Linked DNA regions of Canis lupus familiaris. The protein of the gene in region 3 purifies or fractionates together with the protein of the main gene of each other region. This does not show direct contact. Links are inferred from orthologs where the notes say so. Each region holds a gene or a part of one and is shown on either strand. Other genes may lie near its edges.

Evidence for each region.
Region 1: the proteins of DCP1A (region 3) and DDX6 purify together in Homo sapiens (affinity purification with mass spectrometry; 8 studies listed by BioGRID and IntAct, counting the BioPlex papers as one, with this or other methods). This does not show direct contact. The link is inferred for Canis lupus familiaris from reciprocal best matches to the Homo sapiens genes DCP1A and DDX6.
Region 2: the proteins of DCP1A (region 3) and PNRC1 purify together in Homo sapiens (affinity purification with mass spectrometry; 3 studies listed by BioGRID and IntAct, with this or other methods). This does not show direct contact. The link is inferred for Canis lupus familiaris from reciprocal best matches to the Homo sapiens genes DCP1A and PNRC1.
Region 4: the proteins of DCP1A (region 3) and BAG4 purify together in Homo sapiens (affinity purification with mass spectrometry; 4 studies listed by BioGRID and IntAct, counting the BioPlex papers as one, with this or other methods). This does not show direct contact. The link is inferred for Canis lupus familiaris from reciprocal best matches to the Homo sapiens genes DCP1A and BAG4.

Annotation. Positions count from the first base shown.
Region 1 is NC_049226.1:15,026,124-15,030,577, reverse strand, and holds the start of DDX6 (probable ATP-dependent RNA helicase DDX6), read right to left. Parts: upstream 2,866-4,454; 5' UTR 2,802-2,865; intron 2,688-2,801; exon of another isoform or gene 2,584-2,687; intron 2,577-2,583; exon of another isoform or gene 2,552-2,576; intron 1,725-2,551; exon of another isoform or gene 1,588-1,724; intron 1-1,587.
Region 2 is NC_049233.1:48,554,116-48,558,318, forward strand, and holds the start of PNRC1 (proline-rich nuclear receptor coactivator 1), read left to right. Parts: upstream 1-1,338; 5' UTR 1,339-1,499; coding exon 1,500-2,039; intron 2,040-4,203. UniProt on the Homo sapiens protein: Nuclear receptor coactivator. May play a role in signal transduction.
Region 3 is NC_049241.1:36,886,952-36,891,399, reverse strand, and holds the start of DCP1A (mRNA-decapping enzyme 1A), read right to left. Parts: upstream 2,842-4,448; 5' UTR 2,755-2,841; coding exon 2,620-2,754; intron 1-2,619. UniProt on the Homo sapiens protein: Necessary for the degradation of mRNAs, both in normal mRNA turnover and in nonsense-mediated mRNA decay. Removes the 7-methyl guanine cap structure from mRNA molecules, yielding a 5'-phosphorylated mRNA fragment and 7m-GDP.
Region 4 is NC_049237.1:28,040,102-28,044,369, reverse strand, and holds the start of BAG4 (BAG family molecular chaperone regulator 4), read left to right. Parts: upstream 1-1,403; 5' UTR 1,404-1,982; coding exon of another isoform or gene 1,983-2,028; 5' UTR 2,029-2,320; coding exon of another isoform or gene 2,321-2,323; 5' UTR 2,324-2,586; coding exon 2,587-2,856; intron 2,857-4,268. Other genes in the region: U6 snRNA-associated Sm-like protein LSm1, read right to left, coding at 1,983-2,028. UniProt on the Homo sapiens protein: Inhibits the chaperone activity of HSP70/HSC70 by promoting substrate release. Prevents constitutive TNFRSF1A signaling. Negative regulator of PRKN translocation to damaged mitochondria.

The DNA.
Region 1 (4,454 bases), on a different chromosome or scaffold from region 3:
AATCTCAAACATTTTAAACTGTCAGTTCAAAGCAACCCAGAGAAGATTAGGTAGAAAGATATTGTGATTAAATTAGCATTAGCTGTCAAATGGCAATCTCTTCCCTTCAGTTTCCTCCCTGATGAATTCTCTAAAAATCCCTGCCACCTCTAAAAGTCAATGATTCATTACCCTTAATTGCATTACAACTCAATGAAGTATCACACAATTTTATTAATGTAAATCTACATATCTTGGAACAAGGCAAGACCATTCATTTTTTTTTTTTTTTTTTCTATTTCTGACAGCAACTGAGAATTCCTGAAATTGAGCTTTTGACTTAACTTTATGTTTTCTGGGGCAAAAATACACATTTGTGACTTTATGGATTTCAACTACAGAGGCTTAACGTTATGAAGAAAAATATTTTTTTCCCTCTTAAATTTTGCCCTTTAAGACAGTAACCAGGGATGCCTGGGTGGCTCAGCGGTTTAGCGCCTGCCTTCGGCCCAGGGTGTGATCCTGGAGTCCTGGGATCAAGTCCCACATCAGGCTCCCTGCATGGAGCCTGCTTCTCTCTCTACCTATGTCTCTGCCTCTCTGTCTCTCTCATGAATAAATAAAATCTTAAAAAAAAAAAAAAAAAAAAAAGTAACTGAAACAGAGACAGGTCTCCATGTCAAAATCTTTTGCTTGAGAAACAGCCAAGAGAATCTTTAGCTAACTTAATACTAAAAAAAACTATTAGCTAAATCCGTTTTAATAACACTTTCCAAAAAAGTGTATCCTAACTTAAAATATTTGCTGTTATCAAAAAATATCGATAAAAAACACAAAAGGAAACTGTTCTAAAAAAAATCTGTGAAAGCCTAAAACAGACTAGCAACTTTAACCAAATTTTCCAAGAAACCCAGAGTACTAAATAGTTGTTTTAAAAAAGAACTAGTCAACCTCCGTTTTTAATTATTCCCAAAAATCAAATTCTTACTTTGAAAAGTAGTAGGTAAAAACAATTTACAAAGGATGGACAATAAAGTACTGTTAGGTTTGTGCTTTTTTAACTCTTCTATTTCTTACCAAAAAATACACACTAGTTTATTAATTGATGGTGATTTTTTTGTGTGCCAAACACCAAAGATTCCAAAACAATAAATCTTTTCCAAGACAACTGGTTATGACTTTTTAAAAAACTGAATATTTAGTTGCTCAGAAGCAAATCCTGATTACCATATACACAAAGCTGTACATTTCTAAGTCTCTTAGAATCTAATGCCTTACGCAGACCGTGGTTAACAGCCAACCTAATTTCAGTTCAAGGCGGTAAATTGTTCCCTGTATCGACAGGTTTATATTATGATCAACAATATCACGGAGTTCACACAAGACTTGTTTGCAAATCCGTAAGATGAAGAGGGCAACCTCTAAAGATTAAGATAAATTATCGTCCCACGAGCTCTCTCTTAATCTAAGACCTCATCTCCCTAGATCCAAAATAGGACTATTACTCCCTTCTTACTTGAACCGAAACCTGCACTGCAGCTTTATGTCTCAGAGAAGGAAATATTCCTCCTACCCCTTCCCAATTTAGACTTGCAAGTTACATTCTACATTTTTCAAAAATACGAACGAAACGTAGACTAGTTGGGAGGAGCCCCTGGCGGAGTTAATTACAGCACTTCCCAGATTGTGTAGTTAGCAATTGACAGTTTCACACCCAAAAACAGTATCGTCATCTCAGACAAGAGCTTTTGTTTGCAAATGCAGCGCAGTTTCTCTAAGCTTGGTCTGCAAGTTGGAGGGACTGTTTTCTTCTGAGGGGAACGGGGGAGGGGGTGGGAGGGCTGTGGTAGAGAAAAGGGAGTGAAGGATGAGGGGGGACAAGCCAATGATTCGAACCCCGGATTGTGAGGTAATTTCTCGCTCCCCAACACGCCCCCCCCCAAACCACACACTTCAAGTCAGCCAGCCCCCTGTGACCATAAACACAAAAGGGTTGGGGCCCTATCTTCGCAGCTGCGCCACAAGAGCAGGGAACCAACTCCGCGGGCAGGAAACAATAGGGACTACCCCCAGAAGGCCCCAAAGAGAAACCCTTAAGTCAGAAAGCCCCTCCTTTTCCTCCACGACTCGGGGGCTCCATAATCACCCTCTTGTTACCGACCTACGAGGCCTTATTCCAAGCCAGCAGCAGCGGGTCCTCCTCCAAATCGAGCCCTCCGACGCTGCATGTCCCTGCCGCCCCCTATAGGGCCGCCTCGTACCCTATAACCTCCGCCATCCCCCGAAGTCCTTGCCGCCCCTGCGGACCCAGGTCCCCTCGTCCTCCACAAAGCTCCTCCGAGTACTTCGCCCGCTCCCTCTCCGGACCCCGCCGCGCAGGACACCCCCATACTCGACTCCGCTCAGGCGCCCCCCGCCCCACACGGCTGCCGCCCGCCGCCCGCCGCCCGCCTTCTTCCCCGGGACCCGGCCAGGCCTCAGGCCTCCGCCTCAGAGCACCCCCCCCCCCCCGCCGGCCGAGGGGCTCCCCGCGGCCCCGACCGCACCGCTGACCTCGACCCCACCACCTCACCCCACTCCCCGAGGCTCGGGCCCGAGTCCTACCGCCGAGGCCACTCCCGCTCGGCACCCTCGGTCCTTTATTGTTGACTCGAAGCTCCCAAAATGGCGGCGGCTCCTTCCTCCTCGGAAACCTCCGCCCGCCCCCACCCGGCCCCTCGCTTCTGCCGCCGCCTCCTCCTCCCGCCCCCGCCCCCGCCCCGCTCCGGGGGCCGCTCCCGGGCCGCCCGCGCCCGCCGGCTCTCCCGGCCGCCCGGCCCTACCTCCGCCGCTGCCCGCTCTCATGGCGCCGCCGGAGTCGCCGCCCGGGCTGAGCTAACTCGGCTGCTCTGCCCCTCCCCCGCCCGCCCGCCGCCCCCTCCCCCTCCGCTCCCCCTCCCCCTGCCTGTCCGCATGGCGGCGGCCGCGGCTCCTCCTCCACGCAAGATGGCGAGAGCTCCGCCGCCGCCGCCGCCGCAGCCGCCGCCGCCGCGCCTGCCGCGGCGTCACGGCCTCCTCGGCTTCGCGGCCGGCGCGGCGTTGGCCGGGGAACCTCCCCGAGGAGCAAACAGACGGCGGTGCTCTCACACCGACCGGGGCGACGGAGACTCGCAGGGGAGACACGGGTTCCTTTCAGAGTGGGACGGAGGGCTAGCTTTCTCCACAGCTGAGGAGAAACGAGTGGGGACACGGTGGCCGGGGAGAGGCGGCCCTGCAAGTCAAGCGGGGCTTGTGACCAGAGGAGGGGCGCCTTGTTCCCGAGCGAGGACGCGGCGTCCGGGCCGCGCGGCTCGGGGACGGGAGAGCTGACCTGACGTCCCCCGCGGGCCGCGGCAGCCGCTGCAGAGCCGGGGGCCTGCGGAGCCGGGGGCCGCGGCCGAGCCCCTGCGGGCGCGCCTCAGCCGGGAGCGCCTCAGCCGGGAGCGCGCCGCACTAGAGGCCCGGAGGTGCCGGCGCGCGCCGGGTGTGAGGACCGGAAGGGGGGCGACGGCCCCGCTGAGGGGGGGCGGGGGCGCGGGCTGCGACCTCCCCGCCGGGAAGGGAAAGCTGCTGAGGAGTCACTTCTCGTGGAAATAGGAACCAGACGGCGGCCGAGGGCGAGTCTTCCCGGGCCTGACCCCCCGCCCCCGCCCCCCCCCGCCCCCGCCCCGACCGCTGCTTCTCTAGCTCCGTGGCCGCCCGGCGGCCTCCTAACTACTCGTCCTGTCCTGATGGCTGCGCTTCTCCTGGGCAGGAGTGTGGGGAGCGCTGTGTGGCCCCGGGTGAGAGGAAAACTGGAAGCCAGGAAGCTGGTCAGGTCAAGGGAGTGGCGGCCCCCGGGTGTCCCCAGCGGACCGACCGGAAGCGGGACCCCCGCGCTCCCGGCGTCCCCGGCCAGTTCCCCAATTTTTGCCCCAGCTCCCAACTCGGGGCCAATCAGAGAAAGCCAAATCTGTTCCCCAAACCGACCGCTCGGACACGCCCCGCGGCTGGTTAGCCTGCCTCCTGCTCCCTCACGCCGGCAGCCTCCAATCACAGCGAGCCTCGGGACCTCCCTGCGTCCCCGCCGGTCTCCGCCGAACTCGGGAAGGGGCCGGCGGCCTCGCTCAGCGGGCTCCGAGGAAATGGCCTGGTCTCCTTCGGTCGCCTTTGTTTTTCTCCGCGCAGCCAATGGAAAGGTGGTGGAGAAGCAAGAAAAGCCCGTTCTTGCGATTATGAGGGAGGATCCCCCTTGACAGTTTTTAAGATCCTGAACGTGTAGCGTAGCCTGTGCTCTCCCACCCAGATTTTACACCGCCGCTGCTGTCAGGGAGCGACCCCGCACCCTGTGCCCAGCCTAGGGAGAGGGTGGCGGAGGTCGGGTATAAAATGTGAAAATGTGCTGCCTTGTGCGGGCCTCGCTCGCTGTCTTTCCAAATAGCGGGAATGTGAGGGGAAGATTGGGTAGGAAACGTGGG
Region 2 (4,203 bases), on a different chromosome or scaffold from region 3:
TATGACAAGTTTATACAGATCTTCCTCAACTTCCATCTGCATAAAGTTTTGGAAGCATTATTCCGGGTATCCCGTCTGTCCAACTTTGTTACCAATCATAAAACATTTATCGAGCACTACAAAGCGGAAAAATATTGGCTAGAGGCTACGATACAGCTAAGGATACAGAGAAGGGTAAGATTATTGTGGTGGTCTCCAAACTAAAGTGGCAGGTAGTTTGGATGATGTTAAAACTTGGGTCCTTGCCATCCCTGGACTGGAGTTCAAATTCTATTAACTTGCTGTATGATAGCCTGACAAGTACTTTTTGCTTTTCGAAGCCGGTTTCCTCTCTGATAAAGTGGGGACAAAATAGAGTACCTATTCCTTAGGGTCGAGTTCAAATGACATAATTTATGCAAAGCACAGTTTCTGCCACAAAAGTACTTGATAAAAGAGCCATGGCTTGTGTGTGTGAGCGCAGTGCGGAGAGACGATGAGCGTGGGATTTCCAGAACACCCCAGCTAGCAAGATACACTGCAGGTTGCAGAGCTGTTTCACTTTCTCCCTTTGAGACGCAAACCTCCCCCTTTGCTTCCTCAGTGCCAGGCACCGTTTCGTGATCCCAAAGTCTCAGAGTCCTTCAAGTATAAAGACAGTAACATTCCCACTGCTCAATCACGGATTTACGGGGAACGCTGTATTTGCTAAGGGGCCCCTTTCAATCAGTCACTCCCCTTAATTCTCACTCTTTTTACCGCGTTTAAGGAACAGCGCTTGGTGACCCGAGTAAATGAAGACAACAACGCAAGCCACACTTTGCCAAACAGAACTTAAATGTGGACTGATCTCCTTGCAATTGCTAAGAATGAAACCCCTATAACGTACTTTGAAACCTTTTTAAAAAATCCTAATGTTATTATTCTGCTGGGCTTGAAATAAGAGAGACTCCCCACCCCCCCCAACCAAGGTCAGTGGCTGAGGAGGCATCCGTGGCCTTGAGGTTTCCAGGTTTCTTTCTCCCGCCCCCATCCCCTTTTCCAAATCCGGCCTCGATCTAGCACTAGGACCCCTGCCTTCAGGGCAAGGTGCGGAGGCGAGAAGGGAGCAGGGTGGGGGAGGTCGGGCTGAAACGGAACTTCATTGTTCGCGGGACCGACTCTTCCCGAAAGAGCCCGTTGGCAGCGCCTGCGCAGTGCACGCTCTTTGTGCGGGGCTGCAGCAAGCTGGTTGTTTGTGTGTGTCTCTTGGAGGCGGGGGAGGGAGCGCCGGAGGGGGCGTGGCCTGCGCCGCCGCATCCTGATTGGGCTCTCGGGAGGAGGTGGGCGGGCGAAGGGCGGGGCTTCGGATAACAACACTCGGCGCTGAGGCTGAGGCTATTTGTTGCTGCGCCGCCACCGCCCGAACCATGGTCCGCGCTCCCCTCGGGCTCTCTTAGCAGCAGCCGCCGCCGCCGCCCTGCAATCGCTGGCTTCTCTTCCTCCTTTTCTTCTCGCTGAGCCACTTTCCTCCTAGAGCTATGACCGTCGTCTCCGTCCCGCAGCGGGAGCCCCTTGTCCTGGGCGGCCGCCTTGCGCCCCTGGGCTTTTCCGCCCGCGGTTACTTCGGAGCTCTCCCGATGGTGACCACGGCCCCGCCGCCTTTACCCCGAATCCCGGACCCCCGGGCACTGCCCCCCACCCTCTTCCTCCCTCACTTCCTTGGGGGAGACGGTCCCTGCCTGACCCCGCAGCCTCGCGCCCCAGCACCTCTGTCCAACTGCGGTCTGGCTCCGGCGGGAGGCGCCTCTCGGGCAGCGCCAAAGAAGCGGCGCAAGAAGAGGGTGCGGGCCAGCCCGGCGGGGCAGCTGCCCAGCCGCTTCCATCAGTACCAGCAGCACCGGCCGAGCCTCGAGGGCGGGCGGGGCCCCGCGACGGGCCCGAGCGGAGCGCAGGAAGTCCCGGACCGGGCCTCCAGTTTGGCCCCGGGTCCTGCGGCCGCAGCCCAAACTGAGGAAGCGAGCCCGTTCCCTGGCCCGCTGCCGCCCCCGGCGCCCGGCCAGCCCTCGTTCAGAAGAGAGGTAAGGGCCGCGAAGGGGTCATGGGGGCTGCTGGGGGAGTTCTGGCCCTTAGGCAGCCCCCGCCGGGCTCTGGGATTCGGGGCCCCGCACGGAGGGGTCGGCAAGGGGGGGCCGGGGTGAGGGGCGGCTGTTTACTCGGGAGGGAAGTTTCCGTGACGCCCGCTCGGTTCCAGCCCGGGGAGCGGGGGAGGGGGAGGCATGCGCTGGCGCCGCTGATTGGCTCCCGGGACTCAGCCAATGGGAGCCGCGGCTGCGCCCCAGCAACAGCCCCGATTTAGAAGGCTGGCGGCGTTCCAGGGGGTTTCGGCGCTCGGGCGCGCGGCGGGGGGGAGGGGGCCCGCGGGAGGCTGACGTCAGCGCGCTACGTGCGCCGCGCTCCGGCGCTCATGAAGGAGGCGAGGCCGGGGAAGGGGCGGGCGACCGCTCTGGGCTCCCCGACGGCGGCGCGCGTGCACGGCCTCGGCCGTGTTGTGGGTCTGGAGCGGGCCGCGAGCGGCTGCAGTCGGGTTGGCCTTCCGCCGAGCAGCGGTGCCCGGGTGCGGCTCTGCCCCCGCCGCCACCCTTCTCAGCTGTACCTTTTTTTTTAATTTTTTTTTTTTTAACTCTTAAGAAGTTGGCAGGGACGGCTGCACCTGCAGTTCCTGCCTCTCTGGGACGAGAGCTTTTGCGTGCTCGCCTGGCAGATGAATACGGAGTTGCTGACCTTTTCAGTCTACTGTCCTGGGTTTTACTGATGGGAGGTAGTTTTCTTGAGTCCAGAACGATGAAACTTTTCTCTAAAGTTGTAAGTTGCGGTTGACGTTGAAGCCTCTCCATTGCCGCGCCGTTAGGTTAGGGTGAGACTAGCACTCCGGCGAGATTAAGTCGCTAACGAGCTTTTGAAATTGATCTGGGTAGCAAAGTAAAACCTGCCAATTTCAAAGACTTAACGGCCTCAAGAGATGAAAGTAAGTGGCAGCCACTCGTCGTTGGACGAGTATAGAGATTGGCAGCTTCTCGCTAGATTTGATCGCCGTGATTACCGAAATAATAGTACAGTTTTAAGATTCCAGGGCTCTGAAACCGTATCTGATATGCCGTCTCCTTTTGGAGACTTCTTGGTTCCTGGTTAAAAGTAATCTTTTTTCCGGCACTTACTGACCTGGAATGTTAGGGTGGGCGCCCGGGCATTTGTATTCTTGTCCAGCTTCCCTTCCACAGTACAAGTGTGAGAAGGGCGGTGAGCGAATGAAGCACTCTACTCCTCCATCCGGTCATGGCTTCCTGTAAGGATCACTAGTTAGGGAAAGCAGTTAGAATTGGTGCGGCAAGGTTGTTTTTTTAAGGTTTTATTTATTCATGAGACACACAGAGAGACAGGCAGAGACCCAGGCAGAGGGAGAAGCAGGCTCCATGCAGGGAGCCCCACGTGGGACTCGACCCCGGGTCTCCAGGATCACGCCCTGGGCTGAAGGTGGTGCTAAACCGCTGAGCCACTCGGGCGTCCTGAGCGGCAAAGTTCTTAAAGGCAATTGTTAAAACAAGAGGTAGGGACAGGTGGAAACAACTTTTTAAAAAAGATTTTATTTATTCATGAGAGACACAAGAGGCAGAGACCTAGGCAGAGGGGGAAGCAGGCTCCACACGGGGAGCCCCATGTGGGACTCCATCCTGGAATTCCAGGATCACGCCCTGGGTCAAAGGCCCAACCGCGAGCCACCCAGGTGTCCCGGAAAGTTTCAGTTTTAAAGTTGCTGCTATATGTGTAGCTGGAAAAGATGATAAAAAATGATTAGTACTTAAATTTATGAAATTTTGTTTTCAGAAGCCGGGAGATAATTTTTCTGTGTACTTAATAACCATTATCAAAACACTTAAAATCTAGTTCCTGCTAACCAAATTTTTATTCTAGAATAATTTTGTTTTTTAAATTTTCTTTCCTGGATAATTTTAAAAGGACTTGACTAAAAGATATATAGTAATCTATGAACATAGGTTTTATTTTTAACCAGACCCAGTCAATCAGAATGAAAGTATGTGAACATCCTCTTGGCCACATCTTACTGTTTGGAAAGTAGCTTGTTACTCTTCCTTACAGTTATAGAAAGATGAACTTGGGTTACTTTGGGTTTCTTTCCCTGTGACACTTCTCCCTACATTACTTATTGGTGGTGGTAGTAAACTT
Region 3 (4,448 bases):
AGTTTATCAAAGTTATTAGGGAAGGAAAAAAAAGAAAACATTATATCCTAGGATACTTTGCTTCATCATTGGACGATTTGGGTATATTTTGATGAATAGCAAATTTTGTGGTTTGTTAAGAAATACTGTCGAACACAATTTTTTATTCTTAAACCTTTGTTGAAGAATCATGAAACCTGAAGCTATACTCTGCCTTAAGGTAATTATTATAAAATGTATAACTAAAACATTTTAAGAATAAGAAACATCTTGATTAAAAGTACAACTCATTATCTTTCATTCGCTGTGACAAGTGTATTTAGGTGTTAGACACAATGTTTTTAAAAAAACCCAAATAACTATATTAGTGGCAGTTCACAGCTTAGGTAGAAGTGATGTATTTTAATGCAATCCACAAACTGTTAGAAAACTTTAAATGCTAGTCATATCAAATTGGGTTTGTTGGGATAAAAACATTTAAAAAATATTTAACATGCTGAGAGTATTGCCCTATCATAAACATCATCATAAAAACTTTTCCTTCCTAAGGATTCACAGGCTTTTTCTTGCCTTTCAAATGTTAAATTATTAAAAAAGAAATTGGCAATCTACGGTCTCACAGTGAAAGAAAACTTGCTCAAACAACACTGTGCAAAGTTACAACTCACTGTAAAATAAAAATACAAAAGATTTTGGTTATGCTCTATGGGCCATTAACCAAACGAACAGCTTCTTTTTCAATCCAGATAGATATAATTTGTATTTCATATTTAAAGCAGGACTCTACAATCAGAATTCTACAATTCTGAAAGTCTGTGAAAAACTAGAAATATGAGTGTTAGTCATAAGTTCCTGCCCCCAAGTCTTCATCATTTGTCTGCAATTCACATCTCACAAATTTATATGCAGACCAAATAAAGAAAAATGATTCAGAACAATTCAAACTAAGGCAATGTCTAAAACAGCTACACTAAAAAAAAAAAAAAAAAAAAAAAAGCAAAAAAACTTAAAAATAAGAATAAAAATCTGTAAGTTTGCTCTTTGTGGTTTTCCATACCTCTTCTTCCAGGAGGGGAAAGAAAGAAGATAAGGTAAAAAAGCAAGAGGATCCTGAAAGCTCTCTTCATCTGAGTTAAGTGTTTATAAACGTCAAATGATTTTCATACAATTACTGTTTAAATATAGCCTATGAGTCTGTTTTATACCGTAAAGGGCACATTACGATAATCTTTCAGGGTTTTGTTAGTAGTATTTCATTTTTCACTGAAATGTGAATGTGACTTGTTTATGAAATCAATCCAACAGACGTTGACAGATCATCTGCCAAAAGTAAAGCCTAAAGGAGTAAAGCATGGAGGGTCAATTGCTAGAAAACTGGAAATTATGTTACTTTTATTTTTATTATTATTATTTTTTAAAATAGTTTTTTTTTTTTTTAAAGATTTTGTTCATTTATTCATGAGAGACATAGAGAGAGAGAGGCAGAGACACAGGCAGAGGGAGAAGCAGGCTCCATGCAGGGAGCTCGACGCGGGACTCGATCCCGGGTCACCAGGGTCACGCCCTGACCTGAAGGCGGCGCTAAACCGCTGAGCCACCCGGGCTGCCCCTATTATTATTATTTTTAAATATTTTATTTATTTATTCATGAGAGACAGAGGCAGAGGGAGAAGCAGGCTCCATGCAGGGAGCCCGACAGGGGACTCGATCCTGGGTCACCAGGGTCATGCCCTGGGCTGCAGGCAGATGCTCAACCGCTGAGCCACCCGGGCGTCCCGAAAACTGGAAATCACGTTACTTTTAAACGGGGCCCAACAAGTCAGACAACAGACCCAATGTAACTTTTCGGACCCCCTCCCGTGCAAAAAAAAAAAAAAAAAAAAAAAGGCAAGCAAAGCCAACAATTACTTAGTAGGAAGGGAGCATTCCGAGGCGACCTCACCAGCAGCACAGCTGGAACTAAAACGCATTTACAGGGTCTCTTTTCCAACGGCTTCAAAGAAATGCAATTAACACGGAAGCCCTTTTCCTTAAGTGCCTTGAAATCCCCCCCACCCAAAAAAAAAAAAAAAAAAAAACCTCTGTAAATAGTACAGTTGGATAAAAGCCGGACTTACCCTCACCACCTCTCTTCCAAGAATGGAAACTAATTGGATTCGAAGCTTTATAAACCCAGATGACCTGGGCGAAGGGGGCTCTTATTTACGTGCCCGTCGGGGGGCGGGGGGGGGGGGGAGGACGCGTGTTTACTTTACGGATCACGCACAGGTAGTTTACCCCGGAGCCCGCACGGCCTCAGGCAGCGCCTTTCAGGTGTGTCTCCGACCCCCCGGTTCCCATCCTCCAGCACGTCTGCAAGGGAGGCAGCCCGCCCAGGTCGGACCGGACCGGACCGGACCCCAGCCCTCCCTCCCTCCTCTCGGCTCTTCCTCCCAGACGTCCTGGGCCTGCCTCCCTCGCCCCTCTCCGCACAGCCCCTGGAGGCCCTGGCGGCCCTGACACCCTCCAGCGGCCGGTCGGTCCGTCCCCCGCCCCCCCAACCCCCGCCTCCCCGAATCGCCCCCAACTCCGGAGAGTCCGCGCGGCCCCTTTAAGAGGCGGCGGCCGGGCGGACGACCTCGGAGGCCGCGCCGCACTCACCCACTGGTTGGCCTTGGGGCAGAAGGTGTACAGAGCGACCTGGCCCGTGAGGTCTGCGATGCTGGTGATGTAGGGGTCGTGCTGCTTCAGGGCCGCCAAGCTCATCTCCTGCCCAGCTCTACTCAGCGACTCCATCTTGAATTCCGGAGCCGAGCCCCTCCGGCGGGGGGCGGAGTCGCGGACAGGAAGGTGCCATCGAAGCAAAGTTCCCCCGGCTGCGTCAGCACCTTCCACTTCCGCTTCTTCGCAGGGCCTCGCGGAGGGGCGGTAGGTACGACGGCTATTGTGCTCCGCTACGTCCACAACCCCCGGATGCCGGGTTCCGGGGTTCCTGACGCCCGAGGCTCTTGGGGTGGCGTTGGGGGCAGGCGAGGGCAGGCGAGGGGGAGGGGGCGCAGGTTCTCCCTGCCTTTGGGGTAAAATGTCCTGACAGCGGGATCGGAGGCTGTCCGGGAGCTTTCTCCAGCTCTGGCTGTGTGTGGGCTCCACCATCGTGGGGACAGCATGGAGAAGGGAGGGAGGGGGAGAGGCAGGACCCCAAAAGTCACCCCAGATCGTCCATCTCACTACATCACAGCCGTCAACAATTTGGTGGGGTTTTTTTTCTTTTAATATTTTATTTAAATTCAGTTTGCCAACATATAACACCCAGTGCTCACCCCATCAAGTGCCCTCCTTAGTGCCTGTCACCCAGTCACCCCAATCCCCTCCCCCTTCCCTTTCTACAACCCTTGGTTTGTTTCCCAGAGCCAGGCATCTTTCATGGTTTGTCTTCCTCTCTAAAGCAAGTGCTGGGTGGAGACATCCCTAGCTCAGAGTTGCACACTAGCCAGGGTAATCTGGTAGGGGAATCCAGAGACTCCTTCCTTCCCCCCAGAGTCCTTTCCTCTGTACCATGGCTACCTTCCTTCATCCTTGAGAATGAGTCTCAACTCCCCTCCAGCTACTTTCAATCCAATATTTAAAAATCTGTACCCTAGTTTAAAAAGATTATGCATTTTTTGCATAGGTAATACAAAATTCAGACACACCTGAAACTAAAAAAATTTTTTTTTAAAGTAGACTTTTCTTCTTTTATTTATTTATTTTTTTACTTTTCTTCTTTTAAAAATAATGATTTTATTAAGGTGTAGTTGTCATATAACACTATTAGTTTCAGGTGGACAGTATAGTGACTTGATATTTGCATACATTGCAAATGATGACAGCCACAGCCCAGCGAACATCTATCACCATGCATGGTTACAAGAATTTTTTTTCGTGGTAAGAATCTTCAAGATCTGGGTCTCCTAGCTGCTTTCAAATATGAATTACTATTATTAGCTGTAGTCATCAGGCTGTATGTTACATCCCCAGGACTTATTCTTTTTTTTTTTTTTTTTTTAAGATTTTTATTTATTCATGAGAGACACAGAGAGGGGCAGAGGCACAGGCAGAGGGAGAAGCAGGCTCCGTGCAGGGAGCCCGATGTGGGACTTGATCCTGGGACTCCAGGATCAGGCCTTGGGCTAAAGCCGGCGCTAAACCGCTGAGCCACCCGGGCTGCCCCCCAGGACTTATTCTTTAGTTTTTTTCTTACATAGGTTTACTAAAATCTAAGACATTTCATTTTTATTATTTTTAACTGAACAGGGCTAGACTAGAGAAAAGACACCAAGCTATTTTTTTTTTTAGATTTTATTTATTTATTCATGAGAGACACACAGAGAGAGGCAGAGACACAGGCAGAGGGAGAAGCAGGCTCCCCATGGGGAGCCTGATGTGGGACTCAATCCCAGGATCCCAGAATCAGGACCTGAGCCAAAGGCAGATGCTCAACCACTGAGCCA
Region 4 (4,268 bases), on a different chromosome or scaffold from region 3:
TATACATGAATGGAAGGATCCAGGGAGAGAGAGAAGATACGAGAGAAAAAGGGCATTAATGGAAGAAATAGGGGAAGAAAGAATAATAAAAGACCACAGACTGAAAAGGAATACCTCCTACTCAGATGAGAGGATGGGTGCATATGCAGAAAGACTGAGGAGAAAGGAGGAAATTGTGTGTCATTGGGGGGACAGCGAAGGGTACATAAGGAATGGTTTCAAACTTTTCAGTAAAGGAGGGGGCTTGGAGTCTACAAAGAAGGCGTTAGAGGGTTTGAGAACAAAAATTATTTTTAGTAGAACAGCAGGATTTATTAGGGGCTTCATATAATTCAGATACATAAAATGAGAGGTGGGCAGCCCCGGTGGCACAGCGGTTTAGGGCCGCCTGCAGCCCAGGGCGTGATCCTGGAGTCCCACGTCAGGCCTCAAGTCCCACGTCAGGCTCTCTGCATGGAGCCTGCTTCTCCCTCTGCCTGTGTCTCTGCCTCTCATTCTCTCTCTGTGTTTCTATGAATAAATAAATAAAATCTTTAAAAAAATAAATAAAATAAAATAAAATAAAATAAAATAAAATAAAATGAAATAAAATAAAATGAGAGGTGGGGGCAAAAGGGCATCCACAGACAACTAAAATTGAATTTTTCATTACATATTACAGGTGGATTTGTGCAATTGTTATTTATATACAAATACAGTCCAATTCACACTACATTTTCTTTCAATAGCAAAATCACTAATTTGGATTTATTTACTGATTTGTTTTTAAAGATTTTATTTATTTATTTAACTGAGAAAGAGAGCACAAGCAGGGGGGAACAGCAGGCAGAGGGAGAGGAGCAGCAGGCTCCGCTGAGCAGAGAGCCCCATGTGGGGCTGGATCCCAGAACTCTGGGATCATGACCTGAGCCAAAGGCAAACACCTAACGGATTGAGCCATCCAGGCGCCCCACTAATTTGGACTTAAAGAATGATTTCAGACAACGAAGAGAGTATGATCACAGACTCACATTTTATTATTTTTTTAAAAATTGTATTTTGAAGTACTCTCTAAGTAACCCAAAGTGGGGCTGACCTCACAACTCTGAGACCAAGAGTCACCTGCTCTACTGACAGAGGCAGGCAGGCGCCCCAGGGACTCACTTCTTAAATTTGCATACATAATAACCGTGATTGTTGTAACTTGTTTGGAACTGTGTAAACCACTTTTGCAGCAATTATAAGTTAATGAGACAGACCACAGGATTTTAAAGGATTAGAAAATGTTGCTTGAGGAGTAATTCACAGAAGAGAGCTTAGAAAGGGACAGAGAGGAGTCTTTCTTTTGCGCAGGACCGAACTCTTCTTTAGAACAACGATGGGGAGAAAAGGGAGGTCTTTTTAGTACAAGTAAGAGAAAACCGTCGAACAGAAAAATAAGTTTGAAGTGATTCAGCCTTTCCAGAAAAGTCAATACCTTTGTCTGAAAGTGCTGAAGAACCTGACGGTAAAAGGATATTGCAAATGGCTACACAGCATAAAACCTGCGTTTACTGCCAATTAAGTCCAACCGCTGCTATCTTTTAAAACGTTCGTTTCTTAACGAATCCTTTCTCTACTCTCATTCGTCTACCAGTAACAAGCTGGTACTTCGATATATATTGCAGGTGGGAAAGAGTGGACGTGGGGAGGGGCAACTCTGGCGTCTGGGTCTTGGCAGCCGCGTCCCTCCAAAGCAGGAGTGAATTCTACAGCTTGTGGCTTATCGGCCCACGGGCTGGTGGAGGCTGCGAGACGCAGGAGAGAGGCAGGCGGCTAGGAGGTGGACAAATGGAGTGCCTGAGGCTCTTCACTCACGTGGAGCATGTCAACGCCGAACAGCCAGAAGCGTGCTAAAAACACTCCCCCCGCCCCAGACTCCTTCTACGAGCTCCCCCTGAAGAGGTGTCCGCCCGGGAGGAAGGATCTCACCCGACTTCACGCAGAGGAGATGAGCTACTCACTGTCGATGTCCTCTATGAGGCTGGCGGTACCGGGCATATAGTTCATTTTGAGCTGAGATAAGGCTGCAGAGTATAGCGGCGGCGGGCCAGTGCGTCCAACACCTCCTTCTTTCTGACCGCAGTCGCCGCCTCGGCGGGACCGGGACAGGAACCCGGACCAGGAGCAGCACGTCCGCCCCGGCTTTCAGAAGCCGGGGCCTGCCGGAAACGCCTCCATATTATTCCCACCCACTTCCGGTATCACGTGCCCGTCCTCCGGAAGAGGCGGGACTGGCGCGGTCCCGGGACACCCATTCCCCGCCCCCGGTAAAAGGGGAAGAGGAAGCTAGATTGACTAGATGGTAGGGAAAACGTAGTCTCCCTTTTAAGAAACGCAGGGCTGCAGCTCGTCCTCCAGCTTCCCAGACAGCCGCCCCCCGCCTCCCCCGAGGCACGGACCTCCGTCCCACGACTCTCGGGACTCGCCGCCGAAGGGGCGGGCCCGAGCCAGGATTGGCTGCTGTCGGCCGACCCCTCTCCCTGCTCTCCAGTTCCTCTCGTCGGCGGGCGCTTGCGCCATGGGCTGGCCGTGGGGGGCGGGAAGCGCTGCGGGGCATTAGAGCCCATGTCGGCCTTGAGGCGCTCGGGCTACGGCCCCAGCGACGGTCCTTCGTATGGCCGCTACTACGGGCCGGGCGGGGGAGACGTGCCCATGCACCCGCCTCCGCCCTCGTATCCTCCTCGCCCTGAACCTCCCCAGCCTCCCATTTCCTGGCGGGTGCGCGGGGGCGGCCCTGCTGAGACCACCTGGCCGGGAGAAGGCGGAGGAGGGGATGGCTACTACGCCTCTGCAGGCGCCTGGTCAGAGAGCGGTCGAGCTGGAGGAAGCCACCAGGTAAGCTTCGGGCCATCTGTCCCAGGGGGGTTCGATAAGGGGAGTCTTTGGAGGGTGAGGGCCGCCGGGGTTGATAAGCCTCTGGAGTTCGTAATGGATTGGGTTTCATGTTTATTTTGCTTATGGGGGGTGCGTTGGAGAGACAGACGGGGTTTGTGGCTGGAGGGATATGCTTGTGTTCTCTGCGTCTCCTTCTTCGACCATAATAAATGTGTCTGCTACCATTAAAAAAAAAAAAGAAGAAGAAGAAAGATCCTCCGCTGACTTGATAAGCCGAGTAGCAAGGTGCGGAATCTCTCGCCTTGGGTTGACGTTGGGCTGGAAAGCTTTTGGAGCTCTAACAATTTATCCTGCGTGGCTCATATGGCCGGCTCTTCCCGAGAAGGGAGGTGGCTGCAGCCCCCGCTGCCACTCAGCAACCCCTCCCGACGGGAAAGAACCCTGCATGCAGGAGGAGGAGGGATCGGGCATTTAGCCCTTTGCCCCTAACGCTTTGTCCGGGGTTAACTCACCAGTAATCAATGTTGGAAAGCACCTTTACTTGGATTGTTAAGTTACGTTGCGGTTGCGACGTAAATGCCATTACAACCTCTCTCTTTTATGATTTAATAGTTGGCCCCTGAGAGGTTAACTCACTTGGGCAGTAGAGGTCTCCCTGGGTTTTTGAAGGTTCACTTTATTGCCACTTGGTTTTTTAGGAAGGACCTACATTAGTGCCTGTTTTTACTAACTGCAAGGAATCTGGAGAGGAGTTTGGCTTTTAGGAAAGAAGCTGAAAAGTGAGAATAGCTTCAGTGTTTGTTTTGCAGCAAGCAGTAGTAGAGGCAGTGCGCAACTGGGCAGTAAGAGTGGCACCGCCAATCTCCTTCCCTGGGAACTACACTCAGCTTCTCAGCATCACACTGCCATTACTCTGAACTGTGTCTATGAGCCTCTGGGCTTTATCTCCATTTATTTTGTGCGTTTGTTGGCAAGATATGTCCTAAGGTATCAGAAAAGCCTAAGAAAGGTTATTTGAGGAGCCTGGGAATGCTGAAACATTTTTCATAAAAATTAATGGTAATTGCTTCCCCCCCCCCCTTTATGCCATTTTGGCTTTACAGAAGATTTCATAGGAATGTTCTATTTTCAGATAGCAGGGGAAACCTCTACAGTCGGACTTATAACATTTTACTCCTTGTGTTCCTGTGGGAAATATACTTCTCTTTTGTTAATTAAGTATTTTTAGCAGTGAATTATTATGTGGTTGAGGGGAGCACACCTCTCTTTCCATTCAGTAATTAGAACATCTTCATGGGTTGAAAATGTAGTAGTGAAATGCCCATATATTGCTGGTAGGGATATAAAATGGTTCATTGCTTTGGAAAGTAGCTTGGCAGTTCCTCAGAACGTTAAGCATAGAGTTAGTATAT